Anolis sagrei: one gene and its partners. The protein of the gene in region 1 purifies or fractionates together with the protein of each later gene. This does not show direct contact. Links are inferred from orthologs where the notes say so. Each region holds a gene or a part of one and is shown on either strand. Other genes may lie near its edges.

The links.
Region 2: the proteins of ADRA1D (region 1) and SNTB1 purify together in Homo sapiens (tandem affinity purification; 4 studies listed by BioGRID and IntAct, with this or other methods). This does not show direct contact. The link is inferred for Anolis sagrei from reciprocal best matches to the Homo sapiens genes ADRA1D and SNTB1.
Region 3: the proteins of ADRA1D (region 1) and UTRN purify together in Homo sapiens (tandem affinity purification; 4 studies listed by BioGRID and IntAct, with this or other methods). This does not show direct contact. The link is inferred for Anolis sagrei from reciprocal best matches to the Homo sapiens genes ADRA1D and UTRN.
Region 4: the proteins of ADRA1D (region 1) and CTNNAL1 purify together in Homo sapiens (tandem affinity purification; 3 studies listed by IntAct, with this or other methods). This does not show direct contact. The link is inferred for Anolis sagrei from reciprocal best matches to the Homo sapiens genes ADRA1D and CTNNAL1.

The regions. Positions count from the first base shown.
Region 1 is NC_090025.1:9,059,215-9,066,933, reverse strand, and holds the start of ADRA1D (alpha-1D adrenergic receptor), read left to right. Parts: upstream 1-4,367; 5' UTR 4,368-4,815; coding exon 4,816-5,773; intron 5,774-7,719. UniProt on the Homo sapiens protein: This alpha-adrenergic receptor mediates its effect through the influx of extracellular calcium.
Region 2 is NC_090024.1:21,346,030-21,353,480, reverse strand, and holds the start of SNTB1 (beta-1-syntrophin), read right to left. Parts: upstream 3,038-7,451; 5' UTR 2,810-3,037; coding exon 2,281-2,809; intron 1-2,280. UniProt on the Homo sapiens protein: Adapter protein that binds to and probably organizes the subcellular localization of a variety of membrane proteins. May link various receptors to the actin cytoskeleton and the dystrophin glycoprotein complex.
Region 3 is NC_090021.1:76,107,242-76,115,385, reverse strand, and holds the start of UTRN (utrophin), read left to right. Parts: upstream 1-4,783; 5' UTR 4,784-5,366; intron 5,367-8,144.
Region 4 is NC_090024.1:105,059,135-105,066,740, forward strand, and holds the start of CTNNAL1 (alpha-catulin), read left to right. Parts: upstream 1-4,595; 5' UTR 4,596-4,651; coding exon 4,652-4,831; intron 4,832-7,606. UniProt on the Homo sapiens protein: May modulate the Rho pathway signaling by providing a scaffold for the Lbc Rho guanine nucleotide exchange factor (ARHGEF1).

The DNA of each region.
Region 1 (7,719 bases):
TTGAAGTTTCCGAACAGTCTTCAAAGGCAACCCCACGTAGAGTGCGTTGCAGTTATCTAGAGAATGAATCCACTTTAAACCCTCCTCATGTCTTCCCTCCTCCATCGGAGGTCTGATCTTCGTCAGACAATGCTTGCAAAACAAAAACACCTGCAATTAAAAAAAATAGTTCTCCAAAATAGTCTACGTGCCAAGTCATGTTAAGAGGGAAAACACCTGCAGTTTAAAAGGGAATTCCCTGAAATGAAAGGCTTTAGGAAGGCAGGCATCCTCTGATCATAGGATTCTTGTTGTTGCTGTGTGTCTTACGGTGACCCTATTAGAAGAGGTTTCTTGGAAGAACAGGTCCAGAGGGGGTTTGTTTGCTTTTGCTTTCCTCCAAAGCTGGGAGAAAGGTGGCTTATTTATTATTGTTATTATTATTGTGTTGTCAAAGCCAATGGGATGTTGGACTGCAATGTTTTAAATTGTTTTTAACTTACCGGGATTGTGGCGCAGCTGGCTGAGTGTCAGCTGCATTAAAAGATCACTCTGACCAAAAGGTCATGAGTTCGCAGCCAGCCCAGGTTGGAGTGGGTTTCTAACCAATTGTGTGTAGCCTGTTGTCAACCTTTGCAACCCGAAAGACAGTTGCATCTGTCAAGTAGGAAAATTAGGTACCACATTAAAGTGTGGGGAGGCTAAATTAACTAATTTATGAGGCCATAGAGAAGACTCCAGCAAAGCATTCCAGCGGGGAAGCATGCAAGGAATGCGGAAGTACTTTATCAGCGTCGCAGATGGACGATGAAAGCGACAGCTCCAGCAGTCAGAAAAAGTTAAATAGCCTCTGTCTATGTCTGTATATGTCTGTATGTCAAAAATCGGCATTGAATGTTTGCCATATATGTGTAGACTGTAATCCACCCTGAGTCCCCTGTGGGGTGAGAAGGGCGGAATATAAAAGCTGTAATTAAATAAATAAATAAATAAATAAATATTATTTACTGTTTTAAATTGTTATTATATCTGTTATAATTGTTTTGTATGTTGTGGCATCGAATTTTTGCCTGTGTAAACCGCTCTGAGCCCGCCCCGCCCCCTCAGGGGTTGAGAAGGGTAGGGTAGAAATGTTGGAAATAATAAATAAATAAATAGGAATGTAGTGTCTATATCCAGGGAAGTCACACTATTCTTCTTTGGTCGGACCACACCTGGAATCACACTGTGTCCAATTCTGGCCACCACAATTGAAGGGAGAGGTTGACTCTAAGCTGGAATGTGTCCAGAGGAATTTGACTCCAAGAATCAAGGGTCTGGAGAACAAGCCCGATGAGGAGCAGCTTAAAAAGCTGGGCATGTTTAGCCTGAAGAAGAGAAGGCTGAGAGGAGATATGATAGCCATGTATATGTGGGGGGAAGTCATAGGGAGGAGGGAGAAAGCTTGTTTACTGCTGCCCTGGAGACTAAGATGTGGAACACTGGATTCAGACTACAGGAAAGGAGATTCCATCTGAACTTGAGGAAGAAATTTCTAAGGGTGAGAGCTGTTCAGCAGTGGAACTCCCTGCCCCAGGCTCCTCCTTTGGAGGCTTTTAAACAGAGGCTGGATAGCCATCTGTTGGAGGTGCTTTGAACGCGATTGTCCTGCTTCTTGGCAGAGAGTTGGACTGGATGGCCCTTTTCCAACTCTATGATTATATGAAAGCTAATCCTATGATGGATGGATGGATGGATGGATGGATGGTATCCTTGAAGAAGGAGCTGGGGGTGGTGACGACCAACAGGGACCTCTGGCGTGGGCTGGTCTGAAGGAAACGACTGAACGAATGAACAACAACAATCCTATCTCAATACACCTAAGTTTCTGTTGATTATGAACTGCACTTTAGGCACTCTAATTAGATGGATGGATGGATGGATGGATGGATAGATAGATAGATAGATAGATAGATAGATAGATAGCAGAGATAGACAGACAGACAGACAGATAGATAGCAGAGGTAGATAGATAGATAGATAGATAGATAGATAGATAGGTAGGTAGGTAGGTAGGTAGCAGAGACAGATAGACAGGCAGGCAGGCAGGCAGACAGATAGATAGCAGAGGTAGATAGATAGATAGATAGATAGATAGATAGATAGATAGATAGATAGATAGATAGATAGATAGATGATAGATCGATAGATCGATAGATAGATGGCAGAGACAGACAGACAGACAGGCAGATAGATAGCAGAGGTAGATAGATAGATAGATAGATAGATAGATAGATAGATAGATAGATAGCAGAGATAGACAGACAGATAGATAGCAGAGATGGATAGATAGATAGATAGATAGATAGATAGATAGCAGAGATAGATAGCAGAGATAGATAGCAGAGACAGAAAGATAGATAGCAGAGATGGATAGATAGATAGATAGATAGATAGATAGATAGATAGATAGATAGCAGAGATAGATAGCAGAGACAGAAAGATAGATAGCAGAGATGGATAGATAGATAGATAGATAGATAGCAGAGATAGATAGCAGAGATAGACAGACAGATAGATAGCAGAGATGGATAGATAGATAGATAGATAGATAGATAGATAGATAGATAGATAGCAGAGATAGACAGACAGATAGATAGCAGAGATGGATAGATAGATAGATAGATAGATAGATAGATAGATAGCAGAGATAGACAGACAGATAGATAGCAGAGATGGATAGATAGATAGATAGATAGATAGATAGATAGATAGATAGATAGCAGAGATAGATAGCAGAGATAGACAGACAGATAGATAGCAGAGATGGATAGATAGATAGATAGATAGATAGCAGAGATAGACAGACAGATAGATAGCAGAGATGGATAGATAGATAGATAGATAGATAGATAGATAGATAGATAGATAGATAGCAGAGATAGATAGCAGAGATAGATAGCAGAGACAGAAAGATAGATAGCAGAGATGGATAGATAGCAGAGATAGATAGATAGATAGATAGATAGATAGATAGCAGAGTGCCTTAAGCATATATATTGTGGAATCACCCCAAATGATTCCAAATGAGCATTATTTTGAGTCTAATAGCTCCTCTTCCCAACATTATTTGCCCAAGGTCACCAAATGCGCCTCTCTAAGCCGGGCGGGGGATTCGATCCCTAGTCCTGGTTGAACCTGAAGTCTACTCCAGTCCTACAAGAGCCGGTTCATTAGGATTCGAGATGCGAAAAGATGACCAAGCGAGTAGTAAGTCTGCGAGGCCAAGAGCAGCCCTGCCTTTTGCTGTCCCCTAGCGGCTTCGGTGCGCTCAGCGGAGGCGCTGGAAATCCTTCAATGAATCTATTTTGGGCAGCAGCTCCAGCCTCCCCCTCCTCCTCCTCCCCCTCCTCCTCCTCCGCCTCCCCTCCCCTTTTGACCCAGAACGTGTTTCCTCCCCCCTTCTCTTCCCTCCCCTTCCCCCCACCCCAAACGCCAGGCGGCTTCTTCCCCTCTCCATCCACTTGGTTGGGCATCTTGGCAACTGCAGGGCGCAGAGTCTGTTGCAGGGGGTCCCTCTTTGCCTGCGTCTCCTCCCAATTGGGGGGCCGCTGAGAGCCAGAGAAGGAGCGTGTCCCCATCCTCTCCCTTTGGGCTTCCTGTTTCCGTGCACAGCGAGCCCCCCAAAGGTGTATCCATCCAGCCCTCCATCCCGCAAGAGCGCCTCCTCCTCCTCCACCACCGCACTCCGCCTCCTGAATGCAAAGTTTCTTCTTCTCCGCGCCTGGAAGGATTGCGACTTTTCTGCCTTTCCTTTCCTGTGTCGGAGGCAGCGCCGTGGGGCAGTGAAGGCTGGTCTCCCTCCTCCAGGATTGCATGGCAGGCTGAGTCGCAAGGAAAGCGGTTTTTTCTCCAGTGGGGATGCTCTTCCTTCTCCTCCTCTTCTTCCTCCGTGCGCCCCGCTTGGCGCATCCCTTTGGATCCCGGTGGAAGTGACGCCTCCTCCCCAATCCTCTCCCTCATCTTCTCTGGATGAAGGCACAAGGAAGAAGAAGAAGTCAGTCCTTCCTCTCCAGAAATCCTCTTTCTTGCTACCTTGAGCTTCCCTCTCACTTTTTACCTGCTCTGGTTGAGATGAGCCACCTTTCTGCTTGAGGGAATTTGGTACCCAACATTTGGAGAGGCGCAAAGAAGAGAGAAAGAAAGAAAGGGGGAGAAGGTTGTTTTCCTTCTTCGTTGCGGGTGTTTCCTTCCCTCCCCCGCACGAGTGGGCATCTAGACCATTTTGCGAGTTGTTGTGATTGCAGGAATTGGCTGAAGAGGACCTTGGATGGAAGAGGAAGCAGGGGCGGAGGAGCCCAAGACATAGGAGGGGAGCTCCTTCCTTCCTTCCTTCCTTCCTCCCTCCCTCCCTCCCTCCCTTCCTTCCTTCCTTCCTTCCTTCTCTTTCTCTCCCCTCCTTGCTTCACAAACCGGGGTCCCTCTGTGGTAGGGAAGATGGGCTCCTCGAGATCCAGCAGCTTGGCAAGGGAAGCCACTTGCCCCTGGGGATTTAAGGAGGGAAAAGAAGGATGAAGGTGTCTTTTACTGAAGGGCATCCCTGGTAGGTTTAGATTTGCAGAGTCTGGAGAATCTTGATCCAGAGTTGCAGAAGAAGGGAGATCGGGACAAGTTGGGAAGAGACTTTCCTCCTGACAGCATGCACCTCAGAAGAGGAATGGGTTCAGTTCCTGATGCGAGACTGGGAGTTTGGGGTGAGTGAAAGCCCATGCCTATGCCCTTCTTCTCCTCTGTCCCTCTGCCACGCTGAGCCATCCCACGTCCCACCCCATGGAGACCGGACCTTGTTGAAAAAGAATGACTTTCTCTGACCGGATTAATGCCAGCTTGAATGGGAACCACTCGGGAGAGGCTGGGGGTATTAATGGGACCGGCGGAGAGGAAGATGTCCAGGCCAACAACGGCACCTCCTTGGCTCTGAAGCTGACCCTCCAGTCGGTGAGTGTAGGGGTCTTTCTGGCCCTCTTCGTCCTCTCGGCCATTGTGGGCAACATTTTGGTCATCCTCTCCGTGGCCTGCAACCGTCACTTGCAGACGGTCACCAACTACTTCATCATCAACTTGGCCATCGCCGACTTGCTCCTCAGCACCACCGTCCTGCCTTTCTCAGCCACCTTGGAAGTTCTGGAGGACCTCTGGGTCTTTGGGCGCATCTTCTGCGACATCTGGGCAGCGGTGGATGTCTTGTGCTGCACGGCCTCCATCATGAGCCTCTGCATCATCTCCGTGGATCGGTACATCGGGGTCAAGTACTCTCTGAAATACCCCACCATTATGACTGAGAAGAAGGCGGTGATCATCATGGTGGCCGTCTGGATCTCCTCCATGGTCATCTCCATCGGTCCCCTTCTGGGATGGAAGGAGGCACCTCCTGAGAACGACCAGCACTGCAACATCACGGAAGAGCCAGGGTATGCCATCTTTTCCTCCCTCTTCTCCTTCTATTTGCCCCTGGCCGTCATCCTGGTGATGTACTTCAACATCTATGTGGTGGCACGGAGGACCACCAAGAGCTTGGAGGCCGGGGTCAAAAAAGAGAGGAGCAAATCCATGGAGGTCGTGCTCCGGATCCACTGCCGCAGCGTTGTGGAGGACTCCCAGGCCAGCACCAAGAACAAGGGACACACTTTCCGGAGTTCCCTCTCCGTGCGACTCTTGAAGTTCTCCCGGGAGAAGAAGGCCGCCAAAACCCTCGCAATCGTGGTCGGGGTCTTCATTCTCTGCTGGCTGCCTTTCTTTTTCGTACTGTCTTTTGGTGAGTGGACAGTTGATATTCTCATGCTTTGTTTCTCATCTGTGCCATTAAGTGCTATCATTCTATTTTTATTACTTTATCACAGTGTGGAGGATAAAGCTTGGAGCTTGTGTAACTCCTCTAACATTCAGACTATTGCCCAGAATGGGTATGCTGGCAGTCATTCATCCATAGAGGATCACTCTGTCAATGTGAAATGTTGATTCTGGTCTCAGTATAACTGAGATTATAGCCCAAGAGTTTGGATAGTTCCGTTACTGTTCAATACCAAAACTTAGAGTGGAGTTCTCTGCAATTGTCAAACTGTAGAGTCGTGTTTCTCAACCTTCCTAATGCCATGGCCACTTAATACAGTTCCTCATTTTGTGGTGGCCTCCAACTATAAAATTATTTTGTTGATACTTCATAAGTGTAATTTTGCCACTGTGATGTAATCGTAATGTAAATATCTGATATGCAGGATGTATTTTCATTCACTGGACCAAGTTTGGCACAAATACCCAATATGCCCAAATTTGAATACTGGTGGGGTTGTGGGTGGATTGATTTTGTCATTTGGGAGTTGTAGTTACTGGGATTCATAGTTCACAAAAGAGCATTCTGAACTCCACCAATTTGGAATTGAACCAAACTTGGCACACAGAACTCCCATGACCAATGGAAAATACTGGAAGGGATCAGTGGGCATTGAGCTTGAGTTTGGGAGTTATAGTTCACCTACATCCAGACAGCATTGTGGACTCAAACAATGATGAATCTGGGCCACACTTGGCATGAATACTCAATATGCCCAAATGTAAACACTGGTGGAGGTTTGGGGGAAATAGACCTTGACATTTGGGAATTGTAGTTGCTGGGATTTATAGTTCACCTACAATCAAAGAGCATTCTGAACCCTAGAATTGGGCCAAACACATAGAACCCCATGCCTTGAAGGGACTTGCTGTCACGTCCTCCCTCCAGCCTCGCATGCTCTCTCTCACCCATATATGCGTACCGTGCTGCCATGCGTTGAACCCTACTAACTATAGAATTGGACCAAACTTCCCACACAGAACCCCCATGACCAACAGAAAATACCGTTTTCTGATTATCTTTGGCGACCCCTCTGACACCCCCTCATGACCCCCTCCCAGGGGTCCCAATCCTCAGGTTGAGAAACGCTGACCTAGAGGATGTGCCCATATCACCTTGGTGCCTTTTAGCCAAATATTCTATTGCAGTTTTGGCACTCTAGTTGAAGGAAAGGAATAGCTGTAGTTCCTTCCAAAGTAATTGTGAATGTCATTATTTGCGTGGTTGTTGGTGATTTTGAAGTCAGTGAGGGGATGCTTGTGCTTTGGATTTCATTTCAAACTTGAAAGGGAACTATACGTGCTGTTTATCCCTAAAATAGGTTCAATTCTCTTTTCGAGTTTGGATTGAAACTCAGGGCAGGTTCACCATTCCTCATTGATGCCACCAGCTTCACCCACATGACTCTGAAGGGACATGACGTTAAGAGAACTATTTATTTTTCTTCTTTGGAAATATGTGTGTCCTGCTGAGAAGCTGATGGTTCTCAGGATGGTGCACAGTGTGTCTTTTAGACAGATTTCATTTTTAAAGCCATCAAAGCAAGTTTATTGTGGAGCTAGGGAGAGGTGAATGCAGCAATCCATTCCATCTTCCCTACTTTGAAACCTGGTATTTGGGGGAAGATGACCCTCCATCTGGGCTGGCTTATGAGCAGAGTTTGGAAAGACAGCCTTTAGGTTGGACTACAACTCCTCGAACCATCACCCTTCAGGACTGGCTGGGAAATACTGAGAACTGGAGTCCAAAAGAAGAATTGATTCCCAAGATGGCCAGCTGGGGGAATTTTGTAATTTGTTCGTATAGCTAACCCACCAAAGAGAAAATAAGGGCTCTGTGACCACGAAGGGGAAACCAATGACTACCCTTGG
Region 2 (7,451 bases), on another chromosome or scaffold:
GCAGGAGATGTGTAGTTCTTGGGAGGAGAGCAATGACCAATCTTAATAAAATAGTGAAGAGTAGAGACATCACACTGGCAACGAAGAACCACACAGTTAAAGCAATGGTATTCCCCGTAGTAACCTACGGATGTGCGAACAGGACCATAAGGAAGGTTGAGCGAAGGAAGATAGACGCTTCTGAACTGTCGTGTTCGAGGAAAATTCTGAGAGTTCCTTGGACTGCGAGAAGATCCAACCAGTCCATACTTCGGGAAATAAAGCCCGACTGCTCACTGGAGGAAAGGATAGTAGAGGCACAGTGGAAGTACTTTGGCTACATCATGATAAGTCAGGAAAGCTTGGAGAAGACTATGATGCTGGGAGAAATTGCAGGAAAAAGGAAGAGGGGCCAACCAAGGGCAAGATGAATGGATGGGATCCCTGAAGTGACTGGATTGATCTTGAAGGAGCTGGAGGTAGTGATAGGCCGACAAGGAGCTCTGGCCTGGGCTGGTCCATGAGGTCACGAAGAGTCAGAAGTGACTGAACGAATAAACGACAACAATCACAATAATTGCAGATGCAGTCACTCACTGAAGGGTGAAAACCTTCAGGGCAAAAGTATGATAGCTGGGACCCAACACTACGCTAGTTGCATAACGCAGCTGTGAATTAAGGAAGGGAAGAAGTGTGTGAGACAGCAGAGCAAGTAAGAGACACTGCTACGTCAGAATACTGGAAACATTGTTCACCAGAAAGGGAAAGAGGAAACATTCCTACCCCGTTTACCGTCTTCGTAAGCCATTGTTTATCATTTCACAGCAAATACCTCTAACATTACTTCCCTTCATTAATCCTGCCCCCGCGTTGCGCAACCAGTGTAGGATCCCAGCTACTAGCGTAGGGTCCCAGCTATCATACTTTTGCAACCTCCAGAAAGGCACACAATTGCAAAGCTTCTTTAACTCCCATTATTGCGAAAAGCATGGGGTATAAATAAATAGAATGCCAAGTTTGCAAACTTTGTGTTTTTTAAAAAAATACAATACAACTGTTTGGTTTGCTTCTGACACGATAAATAAAGAAATACCAGATTGCCTTGTGTTCAGCCTGCTTTCCCCCAAAGCTCCTTGCTCGCTCCCTTGGAATGGGGGTGCTGAAAAAACAATTGTGCTGTTCCAGCAGTCCCCAGCCAATCCCTCTCCAATGCCAGAAATACAGCTTAATGGTGTAACATTACCACCTCTCCACAAAAGTCAACATTGACACTGAAATGCAATGCCACCTGAGCTCTGCGAGTGCACCATTTTTCTGAATGAAGCAGAGAGTGTTTGAGGACCGGGGCATCTGTAGGGATACCAAGGTGCTTGTTTATAAAGCTATTGTCCTCCCAACCCTGCTATATGCCTGTGAGACGTGGACTGTCTACATACATCACATGCAACTCCTGGAATGATGCCATCAGCACTGCCTTCGGGAAAAACTGCAAATCTCTTGGGAAGACATGCGGACAAACGTCAGCATGCTTTTTTTTTTTTTTGTCATGTCAGGAGTGACTCCTGGTGTGAGAGAATTGGCCATCTGCAAGGACGTTGCCCAGGGGATGCCTGGATGATTTGATATTTTTATCATCCTTGTCCCCGCATGAGGAGCTGGAGCTGATAGAGGGAGCTCATCCACCTCTCCCTGGATTTGAACCTGTGACCTGTCGGTCTTCAGTCCTGCCGGCACAGGGGTTTAACCCACTGCGCCACCGGGGGCTCCTTCAGTGTGCTGGAAGAAGCAAAGACCACCAGCATTGAAGCGATGGTCTTCTGCCATCAACTCCGCTGGACCGGCCACGTTGTCCGGATGCCCGACCACCATCTCCCAAAGCAGTTGTTCTACTCCGAACTCAAGAATGGAAAACGGAATGTTGGTGGGCAGGAAAAGAGATTGAAAGATGGACTCAAAGTGAACCTTAAAAAACTCTGTCATAGACACTGAGAACTGGGAAGCCCTGGCCCTTGACTGCTCCAGCTGGAGGTCAGCTGTGACCAGCAGTGCTGTAGAATTTGATGAGGGACGAATGGAGGGTGAAAGAGAGAAACGTGCCAAGAGGAAGGCGTGTCAAGCCAACCCCCACCTGGAAACCAATGCCCTCACTGCGGGTGAAGATGCGGGTCAAGAATAGGGCTCCACAGCCAGCTAGGGTATCTTGGAAGACTATCCTACTGGGACACGGAGGGCTCGCCTAAGGCAGTGAGGTGCCAAGCCCTGCCGGATGCTGCCCAGGAGGAGCAGGAGCCTCAGCCCTACCTTCGAGGAGGACCTCCCTCCCGGCCCGCTTGAGCGCCTGCACGGCCTCGTCGTGGGTGGCGTCGCGGAGGTCTGCGCCGTTGACGGCGAGGATGGCGTCGCCCACGTAGAGCGCCTGGGTCTGGTCGGCGGCCAGTCCCTTGAAGATCTTGCTGACCAGGATGGGCATCTTGTTCTCCTTGCCGCCCTTGATGCTGATGCCCAAGCCGCCCGCCTCCTGCTTGAGCACCTTGACGCGCCGCTTGGCGTTGGCTAAGGCTTCGGGCACTTGCTCGGGCAGGTCCGTGAACGCCGTCCGGACGGAAGCCGAGTCCGAGCCCGCTCTGGGGCCATGGCTAGGGCTGCCCGGCGCCCCGAGCCCGTTGTAGAGGCCGCCTTCTCCGCCGCCCCCCTCCTCGGCGCTCAGGACCAGCGCCTCCTCGCCCAGGCTCACCAAGACCCGGTGCCAGCGGTCGCGCACCAAAACTTCCAGCGCGCCGCTCCGGTTGGGTCCCCAAAGGCCACCTCCGGACGCCGCTGCTACCGCCATCTTTGGAGCATTGCTCCCCAAAAGCCCTGGCACTTCGGGGATCCCCACGACACCCCGGAAGGAGGAGGGAGCGCTTCGGAAAGCGGCGAGCGCCGGGAGGAGAGAGAAAGGCGCACGGCGCGCAGGACTTTCGCCTCCGGGAAAAGAGAGAGAAAGAGAAAGAGTGGAGGAAAGAGAGAGAGAGGTTGAGAGAGAGAGAGAGGCTCCGGGAGGAGGAGGGCCAGCCCCAAAGCACTCCCGCCGAAGGGGAGGAGCGGGCCAAGAAAGCCAAGCGAAGTGGGGAGGGAGAAGGAGAAGCCCAAGTCGGCGCGGAGTGGAGTTGGGAGAGAAAGAGGGCACTTCCTTGGCACCGCTTCAAGCGCCCCGTTTCAATACTTTGGTTGGGACTTGCAGCTTTGCACGGTGCTTTCCTGCCCAAACGTGCCGGTGCCTCCCCAAACTATACATCCCAAGAACCCAAAGCATTGAGCCCGCGCAATGGAAGCGGCGTGGAGTCTGTGGACGGCATCCCATGCGCTCTCACACTCTCCTTTCAAACCTGAATGGGGAAAAAATCACGAGAGAGTGCCATTGAGGAACGTCGCAAATATTCACTATCGGATGCCTACCGTTTGACACCACTTTTGACCTCATCACACTAGAGAATGAATCCGCTTTAAATCCGGTTTCTGCCTCCTAGAGAATTCTGGGGTTTGTAGTTCAGTGAGGCTGCTAAAGGCTCCTCTGGAATATTGTTTACATCTGGAATATTGTGTCCAATTCTGGGCACCACAATTGAAGGGAAATATTGAGACGCTGGAATGTGTCCAGAGGAGGGCAACTAAAATGATCAAAGGTCTGGAGAACAAGCCCTATGAGGAGCGGCTTAAAGACTTGGGCATGTTTAGCCTGAAGAAGAGAAGGCTGAGAGGAGATATGATAGCCATGTATAAATACTTGAGAGGAAGTCATTGGGAGGAGGGAGCAAGCTTGTTTTCTGCTGTCCTGAAGACTAGGATGCGGAATAATGGCTTCAAACTACAGGAAAGGAGATTCCAGCTGAACATGAGGAAGAACTTCCTGACTGTGAGAGCTGTTCAGCAGTGGAACTCTCTGCTCCGGAGTGTGGTGGAGGCTCCTTCTTTGGAAGCTTTTAAACAGAAGCTGGATGGCCATCTGTCGGGGGTGCTTTGAATGCGATTTCCCTTCTTGGTGGGGGTTGGACTGAATGGTCCACGAGGTCTCTTCCAACTCTATGATTCTATGATCCTCCTTAAACTACAATGCCCAGAATTCTGCAGGAGGCAGCAACTGGATATAAAGTGGATTCATTCTTGAGTGTGATGAGGTCCAAGGCCCTTTCCACACAGCTGAATAAAATCCCACATCATCTGCTTTTAACTGGAATATATGACAGTCTGGATTCAGATACTCTAAAATCAGGACAGTAAATCAACAGCAAGACTCAAAAAGCAGGGGAATTCCAGACAATAATCAATCAGGGCCAGGTAACACCTCCCAGCAAGGGATCCCCCCAGGCAGCAACCAGCCAGAACTCTTGTCTGATTGAGGCAGGTGTGAGTGTTGCAAATAATCACCTTGATTAGCATTAGTGGCCTTGCAGCTTCAAAGCCTGGTTGGTAGCTTCCTGGGGGAATCTGGCTACCAGTATTTTTAAAAGACCTCTAAAATCAGGACACTAAATAAAGAGCAAGACTCAAAAGGCAGGGGAATTCCAGACAAGAATCAATCAGGGCCAACTAACACCTCCCAACAAAGAATTCCCTCAGGCAGGAAGCAGCCTGATCTTGAAAATGCAAGGCCATTAAATGCTAATCAAAGTAGCCAATTGCAACAAACACACCTGCCTCCAACATACAAGAGCTCTTTCTACCACTCTGGCCCTTACTACAGATAAACTTCACTTTCCAACAGACCTCACAACTGCTGAGGATGCTTGCCATAGATGTAGGTGAAACATCAGCAGATAATGCTTTTGGAACATGGCCATACAGCCTGTGTTTGGCCAATGCTACATTTGGTGGTCCCTATGTAGACTTGTCCACAGCTGCATGGTGTAAGTAGACTCCTGCAAAGGTGAGAGGATCTCATATAAGTTATAGTTTGCACTGTTGCATTGTACGGCGTACACCTGCACATAGAAGGCAAAAGATTTTGTAAAACTATATTTCCCATGGTTTCATAGCATTGGGCCATGGCAGTACAAGTGGTGTCAAAATGCATTATTTTTTTACAGTGTAGATGCATGTGAAATGCATGGAGTTCAGCACAAGCCCCCCCCCCCCCCCCGCAGAGTATTTATTTGCAGCATAGTTTAAATGCCATGGCTGAATGCTATGAAATCATAGGATTGCAGTTTGGTGGGTGCCAATCTCCCAGTCTCTTGGATGGAAAAGGTGGGAATCTTTGTAAAATTACAACTCCCATCATTCCATACCATTGAGCCATGGCAGTTCAAGTGGGGTGAATGATGGTCACTTACCTGTAGCCATGTTTCCTTGAGTGGTCATCTGTTAAATTCGCACATATGGTAGCTGATGCACCATATTTGTGTATTTCACAGAGACCACGAAGGAGAAATGATGGTTGCTTTCCTGTAAACATGTTTCTTTGAGTGGTCATCTGTGAAATTCACACATATGGTGCATCAACTACCATATGTATGCATTTATTATTATTTATTTATTAACTTTATTTATACCCCGCAAAATCTCCCAAAGGACTCGATGCGGCTTACAAAGTTCAAGGCCACCAACAAACAACAGCATACAAATACAACAATAAAATTCATAAGCAAATAAAAAAACAGCAAGCAAAACAATAAAACACTAAAAACAATGACACCATGACGCATTTAAAACCTAACCTTTCACAGAGACTACGAAGGAGAAAACAAAATTAATTCTACAATGTAGAGAGATTACGAGAGGTGATGCAAAAGTGCCTCAGGAGCGGTCTCCTTAGTTTCCACTGTTGTTGTTGCCTTCCTTCAAGTCATTTAGACTTAAGACAACTCTCATACAGAATGATCTGGAGCTGAGATTTGCCCTAAATCACCCAGTAAGAAATCAAACCCTGGTCTCCAGACTTGATCAGACCACATTGGCTGTACCTTAGCAGCAAACCAGAAGTGTTTTGGATCCCCCTCTCCCCCCCCCCCCCCAGATTTTGGGATAGTTGCATGTTAATAGTGAGACATATTGGACTGGGACCCAAGCCCCAATAGGAAATTCATTTTTTGTTTTGTAGACACCTTGAATATGTCACCTGAATATGCTTTTAGACACACTTATGGCAACTATAAGGTTATATGATTTCCTTGGCAACAGCTGTTCAGAAGGGGGTTGGCATTGTTTTCCTCTGAGACTGAGAGAACATGACTTGCCCAAGCTTTCTGATGACTATCTATTTATTATTATTATTATTATTATTATTATTATTATTATTATTATTAGTAGTAGTAGTAGTAATAGTAGTAGTAGTACTGGAGTGACTTGAGAAACTGCAAGTTGCTTCTGCTGTGAGAGAATTGGTCATCTACAAGGACATTGCCAAGGTCACACTCGGATGTTTTACCATCCTGTGGGCGGCCTCATTCATGTCACCGCATGGGAAGCTGACAGACGGGAGCCCACTCTGCTTTCTATAGCCAAACAGGAATGTCTCCGGAGTCTTAGACCAACACTCAAATCACTATCCCATGCTGACTTTCCCCAGGTTGAGTTTCCTTTATCCAAAATATTTGGAACCAGAAGCATTTGGGATTATGTTGATTCCCCGACCCCATTTCAGAATATTTGCTTATTCATAATGTGATATTTTGGAGTTCAGACTCAAGTCCCAACAAGAAATTCACTTACATATTTCACAGACAGTTCAAACATATCACCTGAATGTATGTTTGGCTATAATATTATATAATTTGAGGCATGAAGACAGGTGTTTATCCACTGCCTCTTCAGAAAGGAAATAGGCACTATCTCAGCAACTCAGATTTTGGAGTATTTTGCATTTCCAAATAAAAGATTCCAGATATAAGGACTTTCTCTGCTGTGTTTCTTCACTCCTTGCCCCAGGTGTGGGTGTGTTATGTGCACTGGAAAAAGCAGGCTAGGATGCCCTAGGAAATAAAGGCCGCTTTTATGAATTGTTCCTGATTTTATTGCCTTGACTTGTGATGCAATCTCGGCTCAGTCCGGAAGCAATGCAGTGGGGCACGGCACTGGAAATCTGTGTTTCCCAATTCAAGTCTCTTGCGAAAGTGTCATGCTGGTTTGGAGCAATTTGAGAGTTTCGACCACAAAATGGGACCTTTGGGGTTCTGTCTGGAAGCTAAGCAGGCTCAGACCTGGTTACTACTGGGATGGGGGGGGGGCACCAAGGAATACCAGGAACTACAGGTTATATTCCAGAGGAAGAAACTGGCAAAACAACTTCTGAGTATTACTTGCCTAAGAAAACCCGATGAAATACATGAGAATACAAGTCAGTAAGCAACTTGGAAACACATATATTTGCAAGCTGTACCCTTCATCATGATCTGTATTGGGTAGGGCCAGCAAATGGGAATTGTAGTCCAGTGTCATCAGAAGGGGAACTGTGTGCTCTGGTTCTGACTTTAATGGAAAATTTCATATTTTAG
Region 3 (8,144 bases), on another chromosome or scaffold:
TCATTATTAAAATCATGCCATCCTCAGTGTAATATGGGCCATTTTAAAGACCAATTGCACATATTTCGAGACTATTATTTGCACTATAGATTAATCTCCAAAGGCTTGACCCCAGAGCCAGGTTTCCACTTTCCTTCTGAAGGTCAGGAGGCAGGGAGCTGCTCTAATAGTGCTAAATAACCTAAAAGTGGCAGATCTGGCCTGATCTCGGAAGCTAAGCAGGGCCAGTTCTGGTTAATACTTATGGTTAGTACTGGTCAGTACTTATATGGGAGCCTGGCAATGAATACTAGGTGCTGTTGGTTATATTTCAAGGGCTGGGACTGGCCAAACCATCTATAAGTATCCCTTGCCTAAGAAATCCCTATGAAATCCATGGGGTAGCCATAGGTTAACAGGCAACTTTAAAACACATAAACACATAAGGAATGAAGTAGTAGAGTAAGAAAAGAGGAAAACAACCTTGAAGGAGGATAGACTCAATAAAGAAATCCATGGCCCTAAATTGCAAGACTCAAGCGGGGTTATTAACCGGGTTCTCATTTGTAGGATCACCATACACCTAATCATACTTCATGGTAGTTAACAACAATTAATACATTTATTCTGTGCTGGCTGATCTTCACCCATCTATTCAAAGATTTCTTAGGAAGTCTTGAATCAGTCTGCAAGAGCACAAAACACTTCGTATTCAGAAGATCCAAGGTTCAGTGTCTGGTAGAACTGGGAAAAGTACCTGGAGAACTGCTTAGACTCCGTGCACAGGCCATACCAAACTAGATGGATGAATGGTGATTTATATAAACTGCCGTGTAGCTTCCTATATTCCTAAGCATAAGCTGAGGAGTTTTCTATTAGGGTATCTTTTAAATTTAACAGTTCAGTAAAAAATCATCCTCCCACTTCCAATTAATGATTGTTTAAGGGATTAATGCTTCTGTTTGTAAACTACTCTCTCAATATGAATGAAACAGTACTGTATTACCTTTCTGTTTAGTTCTGTATTTTATTTTAATTTTAAATAAGGATAGATTGCTATTGTCTAAAATAGTGTGCAAAGAGAAAATAGGCAGGAATAATTAGGTCCATTGTTCATATACTGTCTATAAACATTTTTTAATTTTAAAAAAATATTTCATTGTGACGTGTTTGAATTACATTTGAAAAACACAGTAAGTCTTCCACATTTACAGGTTTGACTTTTGAGGATTTTTTTTTATTTGCAAAGTTGATTATATTCATCTTAGATCCCTTCCAGACAGGCCCTATATCCCAGGATCTCATCCCAGTTTTTCTGCTTTAAATTGGATTATATGAGTCCGCATTACCAGATAATCTGGAATAAACAGAAAACCTGAGATCAGATCCTGGGATATAGGGCCTGACTGGAAGGACCCTTAGAAATCGTGGGCAGTGCATCTAATATAATACTGTCTTGCCACTGTCACAGGCACGATTGGCGGGGACAAGAGAGAGGGCCTTCCCAGAGATTGCCCCTTGGCTATGGCACTCCCTTCCTGGTGAGATTAGATCTTCAGAAGGATGGTAAAAACTTGGCTGTGGGACCAAGCTTTTGGTACAGTGCAATAGGAAACCTTACCATGCCGACTAGATTCAATATGGGTGATTGAGACGGTTTTATACCGTGGATTTTAATGCCAGATAAATTATTTTAATGCTTATGTATGAGTATAATTTATTTATGTTCTGGCATTGGGCGGAATATAAATGTTTTAAATAAATAAATAAATACTGTACAATATTTGTGCTTATAATACAGCATTCATACAGGGCTTATATTTGTGCTTATACAGTGACACGCACGTATAGCATACACAGTAATATAATATGTATCATATGAAGTGGGTATTTTGGGTATTGGGTTTTGGGATACATATACATGAATGTTTGAGTTCCACTTTTCAACCATTTCCATTTTTTGATGGCACTCTGACACTTAAACCGTCTAATAAACCGAAGATGCTTCTAGTGCAATAAATTGCATTTTATTGTACTTCTAGTACCTCTCCTCTTGCACCACCAGCATTCTGCTTCTAGTACAAGGTTTGTAACCTGGCTTCTGTGTGTTGTGGGATTTCAGCTATTGCAAGGACCAAAGATTTGGCATGTGAAGTTTCCAAAGGATTGAATGAGACACAGATGGATGAAGGCAAAGATCAGAGGCTTAATTCTCCTTGGCCAAAGAGGATGTCAGTAGAGTCAGCAGCACCCCAAAAAGTGACATAAGTGCAACTGCAAACATATAGAATTTTTTATAACACTTTGACAGCTATTCAAAACAGAGACTCTAGCATGCTGGCTGTTGATTGATGCAAAATGCTGCCAGCTAAATCCACCTCCTGATAGGTCCAAGAGCTCCATCCATTATCATAGCTGATTGGCTTCAGATGTGGGAAATGTAATAAACTATCATTGGGGTTTTTTGAAGGTTTGAGCCTGTTTATTGATCTCAGGGCAAAGGTGCAAGTAGAAAGGAATGTGGCTGGGCTAGAGATGATAGGCTGAAATGGTTCTGTTTCTACCAGGAAAATGGGTGGCAGCCAGGTACACAAAGTAGTGTCCAGGCTATTGGCACAGAAGTCTTGAGACCCCAGGGAAGGGGTCCATTCCAGGGACTGGGATGAGGAAACATTCCTAGGAACAAAATCAGACAATGTCTAGAAAAGCCCTATGGCTTATCCTAAGCCTGTTCTGTGTCCTGTCTCTCTCAGGGCATTGTGAAAGGATTATGATAACGAAATGTTTGGACATTCGCGGAGGTGTGTGTGGTGTGCACATAGTGCTTAAGCAACATTTAGGTGAGTTCATTGAAGGGTTGCCTGAAACTAGGGAAAGGGTCACCACAGACACCCTGTTGGTTCCTATGGAGACATGGATTCTTGGTTTCGTCTTTTGAGGTCTGGTTTTTGATAACATGTGCACAGAGGTGGCACATGTTATCACTTTCTGCATTTCTACCCTCTACTTGCAGGTAGAAATGCAGAATCACTGCACAACTGAAAAAAAAAGCAAATTAAAAACACACTTTAAAAAACCTGACAGAACACTTCTCTGGAAATCTTTATATGCTACAGTATAGCAGAAGTTGGCTACAGAATTGCACTGGAGGACCTAGATATTTCTAGAACAAATGTTTCAATCAAATCCATAATGATCAAATCTGTAAACATTAAAACCAATAACACATGGAGAGCCAGTTGTGATTTGCATGCATAACATGCCTGAAAAACAGACCTGTTCATTGATTTCCATTCTAAAACCCTTCTTGAAGCCCACTCAACTCTCAACACCAGCTGGAATGGGACTCACTTTGGGGTCAGGACCCAAAACTTAAGAAGCAGTGTTCCAGAGCCTCAAGACTCTGAGCCACATTAGGTCAAGGTTGGTTCCTCTTTTGTACATATCCGCATCCCATCCACACCTGATGAAAAATTAGATGTGGTGTGATGTAGTAGCCTGAGTGCTCTCCATGCAATTTTTCAATTCTGCCACAAAGCTCATGAGGTGGTTTGGGTCACAGGGATCATCTACAGCAGGCATGGGGAAACTTTGGCCCTCCGGGTGTTTTGGACTTCAACTTGGCTAATAGGAATTGTGGGACTTGAAGTCCAAAACACCCGGAGGGCCAAAGTTTGCCCCTTCCTGATCTACAGTATTAATGCAGTTTGACAACCACTTTAACTGCCAGGGTTCAATGCTGTGCAATACCGGGAGTTGTAGTTTTACAAGCTTTTCACTGTCTCTGCCACCAAAGCCTCACCAGACTCCAAATTCCAGGACTCCATAGCCTTGAGCCATGGCAGTTCAATCTGTGTTGTCAAAGGCTTTCATGGCTGGAGTCACTGGGTTGTTGTGAATCTTCCAGACTGTATGGCCATATACCAGAAGCATTCTCTCCTGACGTTTCACCGACATCTATGGCAGGCATCCTCAGAGGTTGTGAGGTTTGTTGGAAACAAAGCAAGTGGGGTTTATATATCTGTGAAGTGTCCAGGGTGGGAGAAAGAACTCTTGTCTGCTCAAGGCAAGTGTGAATATTGCAATAGATCACCTTGATTATCACTGAATGGCCTTGCAGCTTCAAGACTTGGCTGCTTCCTGTCTGTTTTCTGAGTGTTGTTCTTTATTTAGTGTCCTGATTTTAGAGTTTGTAAATACTAGTAGCCATATTTTGTTCATTTTCCTGTTTTTTTCCCCTTTCTGTTGAAATTGTCCACGTTTGTGGATGAAAATGAATAAAATCCGGCTACCAGTATTTAAATGAGCTTTCACCCACTCTGGACATTCCAGAGATATATAAACCTCACTTGCCTAGTTTCCAAAAGACCTCACCACCTCTGAGGATGCCTGTCATAGATGTGGGCGAAACGTCAGGAGAGAATGCTTCTGGGACATGGCCATACAGCTTGGAAAACTCAACAGCAACCCAGTTCAAACTGTATTACTTCTTTTCTGCCTCTCCGACGGGGAGGAGGCGGGACGGACAGCCTTCAGCTGGGAGGAAAAGAAAATTACAAAAACAAAAAAAAAGAAAAAGAAAAACCTAGTGTCTGGGGCTGATTGACAGGCCGGCAGGTCACGTGACACTCTCTGCCACGCCGCGAACCTCCTTGGAGGGAGGGGACGAAGGGATGAGTTCGGTGAGCGCGCGCGCGCGGATGCTCGTGCACGCGGCTCCGGGAGCAAACTTCCCAGCGCAGCAGAAAGTTTGCTGAGAAGGCGGGAACGCGCCTCAAGGGGAGGAGGAAGGAGAGGAGGGGGGCGGGTGTGGGCGCGCGCAACCACCTGGGTGCCTTGTCAGCGCCGCCTTCTCCTTTGGCTTTGCGGGACAGAAGAGGCAGAGCCTGGGCCAAAGAGTCGCCAAAGCTGGCTGGCCCGGAGCCCCTTCCTCCCCTCCCTTCCTAACAAACAAAGGCAGACTCCAGAGGAGGAGGAGGAGGAGGAGGAGGAGGAAGAGGCGCGCCGGGTGCAGGAGCCGCCTCGGTCCGTCTGTCCGTCCCCTTGCTTGCTTGCTGCGAAGTTGAGCCCTTGCGGGAGGGAAAGAAGGAGGGAGGGAGGGAGGGAGGAAAGGAGGCGCTTCTTCCTCCTCCCCTTCCTCCTCCTCCTCCTCCTCCTCCTCCCACAGGGCTCCAGAAAGTGAGAGGAGAGGCGCTTAGGCTGCGCAACTCCACCAAGGAACGAAAGTCAGCGGATTGGGAGGAAACTTTGCCTTCTTCCTCCAGGAACTTTTTGGAAGAGGCTTTGGCGCTGAGTTTGGAGGAAGAGAGAGAGAAATAGGTGGACTCTCCGCACCGCATGGGACCCTGCGGGAGGTGAAGCCTCTGGCGGGGTTGGTGTGCAGGCAGGTAAGCTGGGCGATGATTGACAGGCGGGTGGGGTGGGGTGGGGTGGGAGGGGAGGGGAGGGGAGGGGGGCAGGAGGGCCGACAGGGGAGGAGAAAAGGACCTCATCCCTCCCTCCATAGCCTCCCCCCTCCCTTCACCATAGACCTATCTGGCCGACCCTCAATGGGAGAGGCTTAGGTTGCATCCACATTGTGGAATGAATGCACTTTGGCACCACTTGGACTGCCAGGGCTCCATGCTGTGGGATCCTAGAGTTTGCAGTTTGAGGAGGCCCCAGCACTCTTTGGCAGAGAAGGAGAAAGACCATGTAAAACTTCATCTCCGCAGCACAGAGCCATCTTTGATGTGGGGACAGTTAGTCCAAAATTTCCTTGTCTGATAAAACAGAATAGGCCACCCTCAATTTTTTTCCATGTCAGGAGTGACTTGAGAAACTGCAAGTCGCTTCTGATGTGAGAGAATTGGCTGTCTGCAAGGAAGTTGCCCAGGGGACATTGGATGTTTTACAATCCTGTGGGAGCCATCTCTCTTGGTCTGCATGAGGAGCTGGAGCTGACAGACAGGAGCTCAACCCGGTCCCCAGATTTGAACTGCCGACATTTCGATCAGCAGCCCTGCTGGCTGTCCATCCAACAGCATTCACTTTCACCAAGGATTAGGAAAGTCAACAGATAAGTGATAATGTTTGAGTGGGAGCTCACCCCATTTTGTTTGGAAGAGGTCTTGACTTGTGCCTTCAAGGCCCCCAATTGGCTTGTATCCCCCCAAAACCCCACACACAGATGGCCTTCCATTGCTCCTGTTTGCCTTCAAGTCCTTCCCCACTAAGGGTGACCCTTGAGACAAGCAACGGTTACTGTTTTTCCTTCAGGGATATTCAAACCCTGGTCCCCAAAGTTCTAGTCCAGCATTGAAACCACAGAGTGCATCTATGCCAGGGATAGGCCAGCTTGGGCCCTCCAGGTGTTCAACCCCCGCCATTCCTAACAGCCTCAGGCTCCTTCCTTTCCCCCCTCAGCCGCTTAAGGAAAGAGACTGAGGATGTTAGGAATGGCGACACTTGAAGTCCAAAACACCTGGAGGGCCCAAGTTGGCCTATGCCTGATCTATGCTGTAGAACAGACATGGACAAACTTCAGCCCTCCAGGTGTTTTGGACTGCAACTTCACAGTTCCTCACACCTGGAGGGCTGAAGTTTGCCCATCCTTGCTGTAGAATTAATGCAGTTTGGTCAAACTTGAATTGCCGTGACTCAATGCTATGGAATTATGGAATCTGTTAGGTTTGGCCTTACTTATTTTTCTTGGCCTTCCTCGGAGGATGGGAGAGTTTGACTGGTTCAGAGCCACATTGTGAGTTTTCATGGCTGAGTGAGGATTGGAAGCCCTGCTCCTTAGCGTCCTAATCCAACACTCAAACTATAGCAATTATCTGCACCGTAGAATGAATGCAGCTTGACAAGACCTTAATTGCCATGGCTCAGTGCTATGGAATCTTGGGAGTTATAGTTTGGTGAAGCATCAGCACTCTTTGGCAGGGAAGGCAAAAGACCTTGTGAAACTAAATCTCCCAGGATTCCATAGCACTGAGCCTGGGCAGATAATGTGGTGTCAGGCTTTCATTGAAGGTGGAGCCCCAGTAGCTCAGTGGGTTAAACCAGTGGTTCTCAACCTGTGGGTCCCCAGATGTTTTGGCCTTCAACTCCCAGAAACTTCTGGGAGTTGTAGGCCAAAACACATGGGGACACACAGGTTGAGAACCACTGGGTTAAACTCTTGTGCGGCAGGGCTGCTGACTAAAAGGTTGAAAGGTCAGTGGTTTGAATCCAGGGAATGGGGTGAGCTCCTGTCTGTCAGCTGCAGCTCCTCATGTGGGAACATGAGGATGGTGAAATATTTGGGCACCCCCTGGGCAATGTCCTTGCAGACTGCCAATTCTCTCACACCAGAAGTGACTTGTGGTTTCTCAAGTTGCATCTGACACACGGGAAAAAAACCCAGGGTGGCCTATTCTGTTTTATCAGACTAGGAATTTTTGGACTACTTGTCCTTCCCCCAGTTCAATAAATGCCATGTTTCTTTAGAAAATGTTAGCACACAATTCTCTTGCCTTTGAGAGACTTAACAAATTTGGGGTGGTCTAAGCTTCCATGGATTAGTGAGGCCCCTTCATCAGGTGATTTGGTCAGAGTGGGCTGGGGAAATGCTTCTAGTCCTTTTGCCTCCTAGTTCTGTGCGAGTATGTATCTACTTATAGGGTGGATTAAAGGATACTTCCATGCAAGCAGCTTTTCGTTCCTCTGCCCTAGTCAGCTTTCAATGTGCTTGTGTGCATAGGTACATAGGAGATAGGTGGTTGTGATGGTCCTAAAAGGCCATTAAGCTTTTGTAAAATAATTCCTTCTTTAGCTAATTGGTAGGAGTTCTCCATGGAGCAAAGGCATTACAAAATTTTCATAGCTAGCCTTACCATTAAGTAGAGTGAGGCAGACACCTCAGGCAATGGATTTGGGGTGTGCCGTGAAAAGGCAGAAAATTGTTAGTTATTTAATTCATTATGTTCGTATTTTTATTACCAGGAAAGGAGGAGGCGTTTTGAGACTTTCTGCCGCTGGTGCCAGAATAACTTGGCTGTCCTAGGTTACTATGCATTTTGGCTTGGGTGGGGAAGGCGTGTGAAAATACTTCTCATTAGTTTATCCAACATGCTTGCATGCCTTTTTCAAGAAAGGGACAGAGAGAGTGAAGGAAGCTTTGAATGGAGTTATGGAAAGTTTTT
Region 4 (7,606 bases), on another chromosome or scaffold:
GGTTGTTTGTAGCTGTCAATCAATGTTGTTTGCACCAGTTGAATTGCTCCTCCTACTCAACTGTTTGACCCCACCTCTTTCTAGAGTTTCCTTTTCCATTCCACCATCAAACTTTCTATCAGATGGACGTGAGAGAGAGACTTGGCTCTAAAGCCCTTGATTAAGTTACCTCTCAGCACCAATTCTGAGGTTCTTACCCTTGAGACTTATGCTTCATGTTCAGATCAACCTGGACGACATTGAGAAGTCTCAAGCGCCTTCAAACCAGTTCTTTGGCACCAGAGGAAGGCTTTGTGCCTTCAAAATATAGGCTATTAGAATTGGGGTTGTGATTATTCCAATATTCACAGCCATTGAGAAAGAGGGACCTGGAAAAGCTTCTCAGCTGCAAAACTCCTTGGACCCAAGACAACCAGAGACTGTAATGTATATTTTCCTTTACCCCTTTGAAACTTCCAGCTTATTGCCTTAAAGGGATAACTCTTTATGAACAATTAAACTTATTTTGAGTTATCTACAGTGTTTTGGTCTTTGGGAGTTCCAGTTTTCCTAAAGGAGGGCAAGAAGCAATCCCCTGGGGGAAAGATGTCCATGCCTCTTTCACTAAGAGTTATAGCCTCCAGGCGCGACGGCATATAGTTGATGGCTCCTTGCTTTAAGAATCCAAAAAATTAGGAAAGCAATGTGTTATAACTGGAACAGGGGCCAACTGAATACACCTTAGGAGGGCTTGCATTCTAGGGACTTGAGGGTATATTGCAGGCTTGGGCAAACGTTGGCCCTCCAGGTGTTTTGGACTACAACTCCCACAATTCCTAACAGCCTCGGGCCCTTTCCTTTTCCCCCTCAGCCGCTTAAGTGGCTGAGGGGGGAAAGGAAGGGGGCCTGAGGCTGTTAGGAATTGTGGGAGTTGTAGTCCAAAACACCTGGAGGGCCAACGTTTGCCCATGCCTGGTATATTGTTTCCTCCCTCTTGTTGCTCTATTACACTGTTGCGCTGGCTGGAAGAATCAGTACACAGTGTTAAGGTTGTTAAAGACAGGAAAGGGAAACCTCTCTCCTGCTAATTCAGTTGGAGGTTTCCTATTCAGCCGGGAACTTTTTTCTATCTTTATTGCCAACCATTGAGAATTTACTTCGAGCTTTGGAAAGTTTTGCAGTAATATGTGCTCTGGCTTGTAGCTCTGGAAGGTTTTGCATGGCACAGGAATTCTGGTTTGTGAATTGGCAAGGTTTTGCATGACACAGCAGCTCAGGTATGCTCAGTGGAAAGAGTCTATATAACATATGACCCTTCATTTACAGATCTGTAAGGTTTGCATGTATGACAGCCACCCAGCTGAGGTAAATGGTAAAATATAGCCTTGCCCATTTTATTTCAGCCTTACCTTATGCCCTTCACCCCACTGACTGTGGAATGCAGCCACTCCCTACTGAAATTGTTTCCAAATTGGAATCTAACTCTGGGCTAAAAGGTGTTTCCCCCTCATTTCCCCAGGTCAAGCAGATGCCTTTTCTGATATTAACATGTGAGGTACGTTAACTGATTTTTACCCCACACTGAGTAAATCCAAACTGCAAGCCTTTTACCTTCAGGGTGAGTGCGACCCTATCTAACACAGGTTGAATACCTATTATTTGATCTGCCTTCCAGGATCACCTTTCTTATCTAGATTAAGGGCCCTTCCACACAGCCCTATAACCCTGAATGCAAAGGCAGAAAATCCCACAATATCTACTCTGAACTGGGTTACTCGAGTCCACATTGCCGTATATTACAGTTCAAAGCAGATAATGTGGGATTTTTTTCAGCTGTGTGGAAGGGACCCAAAATGCTTGCTTATAAAACTATTGTCCTTTATAAACAAAACGTGAACCTTCTACAGCAGCTTTTCTCAACCTGGAGGTCGGGACCCCCAGAGGGTCACAAGGGGGTGTCAGAGGGGTCGCCAAAGACCATCAGAAAACAGACCTCACTACCTCTGAGGATGCATGCCATAGATGCAGGCGAAACGTCAGGAGAAAAATTGCCTCCAGAACATGGCCATATAGCCCGGAAAAACCTACAACAACCCACATAGTATTTTCTGTTGGTCATAGGTGTTCTCTTATGGGAAGTTTGGCCCAATTGTATCATTAGTGGGGTTCAGAATGCTCTTTGATTGTAGGTGAACTATAAATCCCAGCAACTAAAACTCTCAAAGGTCAAGGTCTATTTTCCCCAAACTCCACCAGGGTTCACATTTGGGCATATTGAGGATTTGTGCCAAGTTTGGTCCTGATCCATCATTGTTTGAGTCCACAGTGCTCTCTGGATGTAGGTGAACTACAACTCCAAAATTCAAGATCATCGCCCATCAAATCCTTTCAGAATTTTCTGTTGGTCATGGTAGTTTCGTGTGCCAAGATTGGTTCCATTCCATTGTTGGTGGAGTTCAGAATGCAATTTGATTGTAGGTGAACTATAAATCCCAGCAACTAAAACTCTCAAATGACAAAATCAATCCTCCCAAGCCTACTAGTATTCAAATTTGGACATATTGGGTATTTATGCCAAATTTGGTCCAGTGAATGAAAATACATCCTGCATATCAGATATTTACATTACAATTCATTACAGTAGCAAAATTACAGTTATGAAATAGCAACAAAAATAATTCTATTTTGGGGGGTCACCACAACATGAGGAACTGTATTAAGGGGTCACGGCATTAGGAAGGTTGAAAAAAACTGTTGTACAGAGTCACACTCAACTTCTTGAATACATAGCAGGGTGGACTCAGAGCCCTTCCACACAGCCATATAACCCAGAATGTCAAGGTAGATTATCCACAATATCTGCTTTGAACTGGACTATCTGAGGGCCCTTCCAGACAGGCCGTATGCCCCAGGATTTTATCCCGGATTTTCTATTTATCCCAGATTATCTGGCAGTGCGGACTCATATAATCCAGTTTAAAGCAAAAAACCTGGGATCCAATCCTGGGATATGGGTCATGTCTGGAAAAGTCCCTTCCACACATTTGCATAAAATCCACATTGCACTGGATTAAATAGCAATGTGGACTCAGATAGCCCAGTTCAAAACAGATATTGTGGATTGTGCACCTCGATATTCTGGGTCCCCTTCCACCCAGCTGAATAAAATCGCAAATTATCTGCTTTGAACTGGGATATATGGCAGTGTGGATTCAGATAACCCAGGGCCGTTCCAAACAGTCCTATATCCCAGAATATCAAGGCAGAAAATCCCACAATATCTGTTTTGAGCTGGGTTATCTGGGTCAACACTAAGATACTGTGGGCTTTTCTGCTTTGATATTCTGGGATATAGGGCAGTGTGGAAGAGCCCTCAGATAACCCAGTTCAAAGCAGATATGGTGGGGTTTTCTGCCTTGATATCCTGGGATATAGGGCTGTGTGAAAGTGCCCTCAGATAACCCAGTTCAAAACAGATATTGTGGGGTTTTCTGCCTTGATATCCAGGAATATAGGGCTGTGTGGAAGGGCCATTGGATAACCCAGTTCGAAGCAGATATTGTGGGATTTTCTGCCTTGATATTCAGGGATATAGGGCTGTGTGGAAGGGCCCTCAGACCCAGCAGTTCAAAGCTGATATTGTGGGATTTTCTGCCATGATATCCAGGGATATAGGGCTGTGTGGAAGGGCCATCGGATGACCCAGTTCAAAGCCGATATTGTGGGGTTTTCTGCCTTGATATTCTGCGATATAGGGCTGTGTGGAAGGGCCATTGGATAACCCAGCTCAAAGCTGATATTGTGGGGTTTTCTGCCCTCATATCCTGGGATAAAGGTCTGTGTAGAAGGGTCCTCAGACGACCCATCTCACAGCAGATATTGTGTGGTTTTCTGCCTTGATATACTGGGATATAGGTCTGTGTGGAAGTGTCCTCAGACAACCCAATTCAAAGCAGATATTGTGGGGGTTTCTGCCTTGATATTCAGGAATATAGGGCTGTGTGGAAGGGCCATTGGATAACCCAGTTCAAAGCCGATATTGTGGGGTTTTCTGCCTTGATATTCTGCGATATAGGGCTGTGTGGAAGGGCCATTGGATAACCCAGCTCAAAGCAGATATTGTGGGGTTTTCTGCCCTCATATCCTGGGATAAAGGTCTGTGTAGAAGGGTCATTGGATAACCCAGCTCAAAGCAGATATTGTGGAATTTTCTGCCTTGATATCCTGGGATAAAGGGCTGTGTGGAAATGCCCTCAGACAACCCAGCTCACAGCAGATATTGTGGGATTTTCTGCCTTGATATCCAGGAATATGGGGCTGTGTGGAAGGGCCATTGGATAACCTAGCTCACAGCAGATATTGTGGGATTTTCTGCCTTGATATTCTAGGCTATAGGGCTGTGTGGAAGGACCCTGAGAGGGTTTATTAACCCAGAAGGTGGGGAGGAATAAGGCATGGCAATTTTCCCGCCTGAGGGGCGAAGCGAGCGCGCGCGACCCTCTGAGGCCACCCTATTGGCTGGAGGGGGGGGGGCGACGTCCGAAGGCGGGAAAAAGAGGGGGAGAGGGAGGGCGGAGAAAGGGGCGGAGCCTCGAGGGGGAGCCCCGGCTTCTCTGCCGCCGCCTCTTCATTCCTCTTCTGGAGAAGGAGCGAGCGGCGCGGCTCCGGAGCAATGGCCGCGTTCCTCGGCGGCGCAGGAGGAGGAGGAGGCGGAGGAGGGAGCCTCGGGAGCGGGGTCTGCCCGTGGCCGCGCTCCCCTCCGGGCTCGGCGCTGGGCTGGGAGCCGCTGCTGCCGGGGCTGCAGATCCGCTCGCGGTCGGTGGAGCAGACGCTGGTGCCGCTGGTGGCGCAGGTATTGCCCACTCCAACCCAGCCCTCCCCCTTCATTGTCCACTTTGAAGGCTCCTTCTCCTCCCGCCCTATCTTCCTCCTCATTTGGGACTCACTTCGTGTGCCCAGAAAGGGACTCATCCGTTCCCCTTTCAGCCGAAGCGCCTTCAAACGGGGAAGGACTTTCTCTCTTTTGAAGGGCAGCCAGCCAGCCATCCATCCATTCACCCCGGCCTTTGCTTTTTGGCTTGGCTTTTGGGGCGCTTCTTTCTTTCACATAACTTTCCCTCATTCTTTTTTCTCCTCCTTTCGACTGTAATCCGTTTTAAAGAGCCTGTGACTAACTTCCGCGAAAGTTTGGGCGAAAAAAGTTTTGGCTATTGTTGTTGTTGCTGCCAGGCTCGTTGCTTTGTGTGGCTTTGTGAATATTGCATGAGCCTTACCTTGAGCCGAGGTAGGATTCCTGCGCGCTCTTTGGAGAAGCAGGAGGAGGCTAGAAATAGTCCCTTGGGCTCCATTGGGGGGTTGCCAGCATCGTCCCTACCAAATCCCACAATATCTGCTTTGAACTGGGTTATCCAATGGCCCTTCCACACAGCCCTATATCCCAGGATATCAAGGCAGAAAACCCTACAATATTTGCATTGAACTGAGTTGTCTGAGGGCACTTCCACACAGCCCTATATCCCAGAATATCAAGGCAGAAAACCCCACAATATCTGCTTTGAACTGGGTTATCCAATGGCCCTTCCACACAGCCCTATATCCCAGGATATCAAGGCAGAAAACCCTACAATATTTGCTTTGAACTGAGTTGTCTGAGGGCACTTCCACACAGCCCTATATCCCAGGATATCAAGGCAGGAAAAACCCACAATATCTGCTGTGAGCTGGGTTGTCTGAGGGCCCTTCCACACAGCCCTATATCCCAGAATATCAAGGCAGAAAACCCCACAATATCTGCTTTGAACTGGGTTATCCAATGGCCCTTCCACACAGCCCTATATCTCAGGATATAAAGGCAGGAAAAACCCACAATATCTGCTTTGAATTGGGTTATCCAATGGCCCTTCCACACAGCCCTATATCTCAGGATATAAAGGCAGGAAAAACCCACAATATCTGCTTTGAACTGGGTTATCCGATGGCCCTTCCACACAGCCCTATATCTCAGGATATAAAGGCAGGAAAAACCCTCAATATCTGCTGTGAGCTGGGTTATCGGATGGCCCTTCCACACAGCCCTATATCTCAGGATATAAAGGCAGGAAAAACCCACAATATCTGCTTTGAACTGGGTTATCGGATGGCCCTTCCACACAGCCCTATATCTCAGGATATAAAGGCAGGAAAAACCCACAATATCTGCTTTGAACTGGGTTATCCGATGGCCCTTCCACACAGCCCTATATCTCAGGATATAAAGGCAGGAAAAACCCACAATATCTGCTTTGAACTGGGTTATCCGATGGCCCTTCTATCGTCAACTACCAAACTCAAGATTTTCGTATTTTGTCTGTTTTTGTTTTGTTTTGTTTTTTTGCTTTTTTCTGTTAGAAATGTAACATAATCAACTGGTTGCACTGACACGATGAATAAATAAATAAATAAATAAAGCACCGTCCCTTCTCAGGCTGTGTCTAGACTGCTCTATATTTTAGGACAGAGGTCCTCAAACTTTTTAAACAGAGGGCCAGATCACAGCCCCTCAAACTATAGGCCTGGGTAACAACGGAAAGGAGAGAGAGAGGAGGGTGGGTGAGTGACATCTCTATTCTGGTTTGACAGTGCTTCTTCTCAATAATAATAATAATAATAACAAACCACTTTCTGCCTTCGTGAATGTATGGGACAGTCAAAGCAGTACTGAAAGATGGCCATCCATTCTTAATAATAATAATAATAATAAATATAATAAATATAATTAATATAATAGTTTTAACCTGGAGAAGGAAAGGGGGGGAAGGAGAGAGAGAGGAGGGTGGGTGACTGACATCTCTATTCTGGTTTGACAGTGCTTCTTCTCAATAATAATAATAATAATAATAATAACAAACCACTTTCTGCCTTCGTGCATGTAAGGGACAGTCAAAGCAGTACTGAAAGATGGCCATCCATTCTTGATAATAATAATAATAATAATAAATATAATAAATATAATTAATATAATAGTTTTAACCTGGAGAAGGAAAGGGGGGGAAGGAGAGAGAGAGGAGGGTGGGTGACTGACATCTCTATTCTGGTTTGACAGTGCTTCTTCTCAATAATAATAATAATAATAATAACAAACCACTTTCTGCCTTCGTGAATGTATGGGACAGTCAAAGCAGTACTGAAAGATGGCCATCCCTTCTTAATAATAATAATAATAATAATAATAATAAATATAATTAATATAATAGTTTTAACCTGGAGAAGGAAAGGGGGGGAAGGAGAGAGAGAGGAGGGTGGGTGACTGACATCTCTATTCTGGTTTGACAGTGCTTCTTCTCAATAATAATAATAATAATAATAATAATAATAACAAACCACTTTCTGCCTTCGTGAATGTATGGGACAGTCAAAGCAGTACTGAAAGATGGCCATCCCTTCTTAATAATAATAATAATAATAAATATAATTAATATAATAGTTTTAAACTGGAGAAGGAAAGGGGGGAAGGAGAGAGAGAGGAGGGTGAGTGAGTGACATCTCTATTCTGGTTTGACAGTGCTTCTTCTCAATAATAATAATAATAATAATAATAACAAACCACTTTCTGCCTTCGTGAATGTATGGGACAGTCAAAGCAGTACTG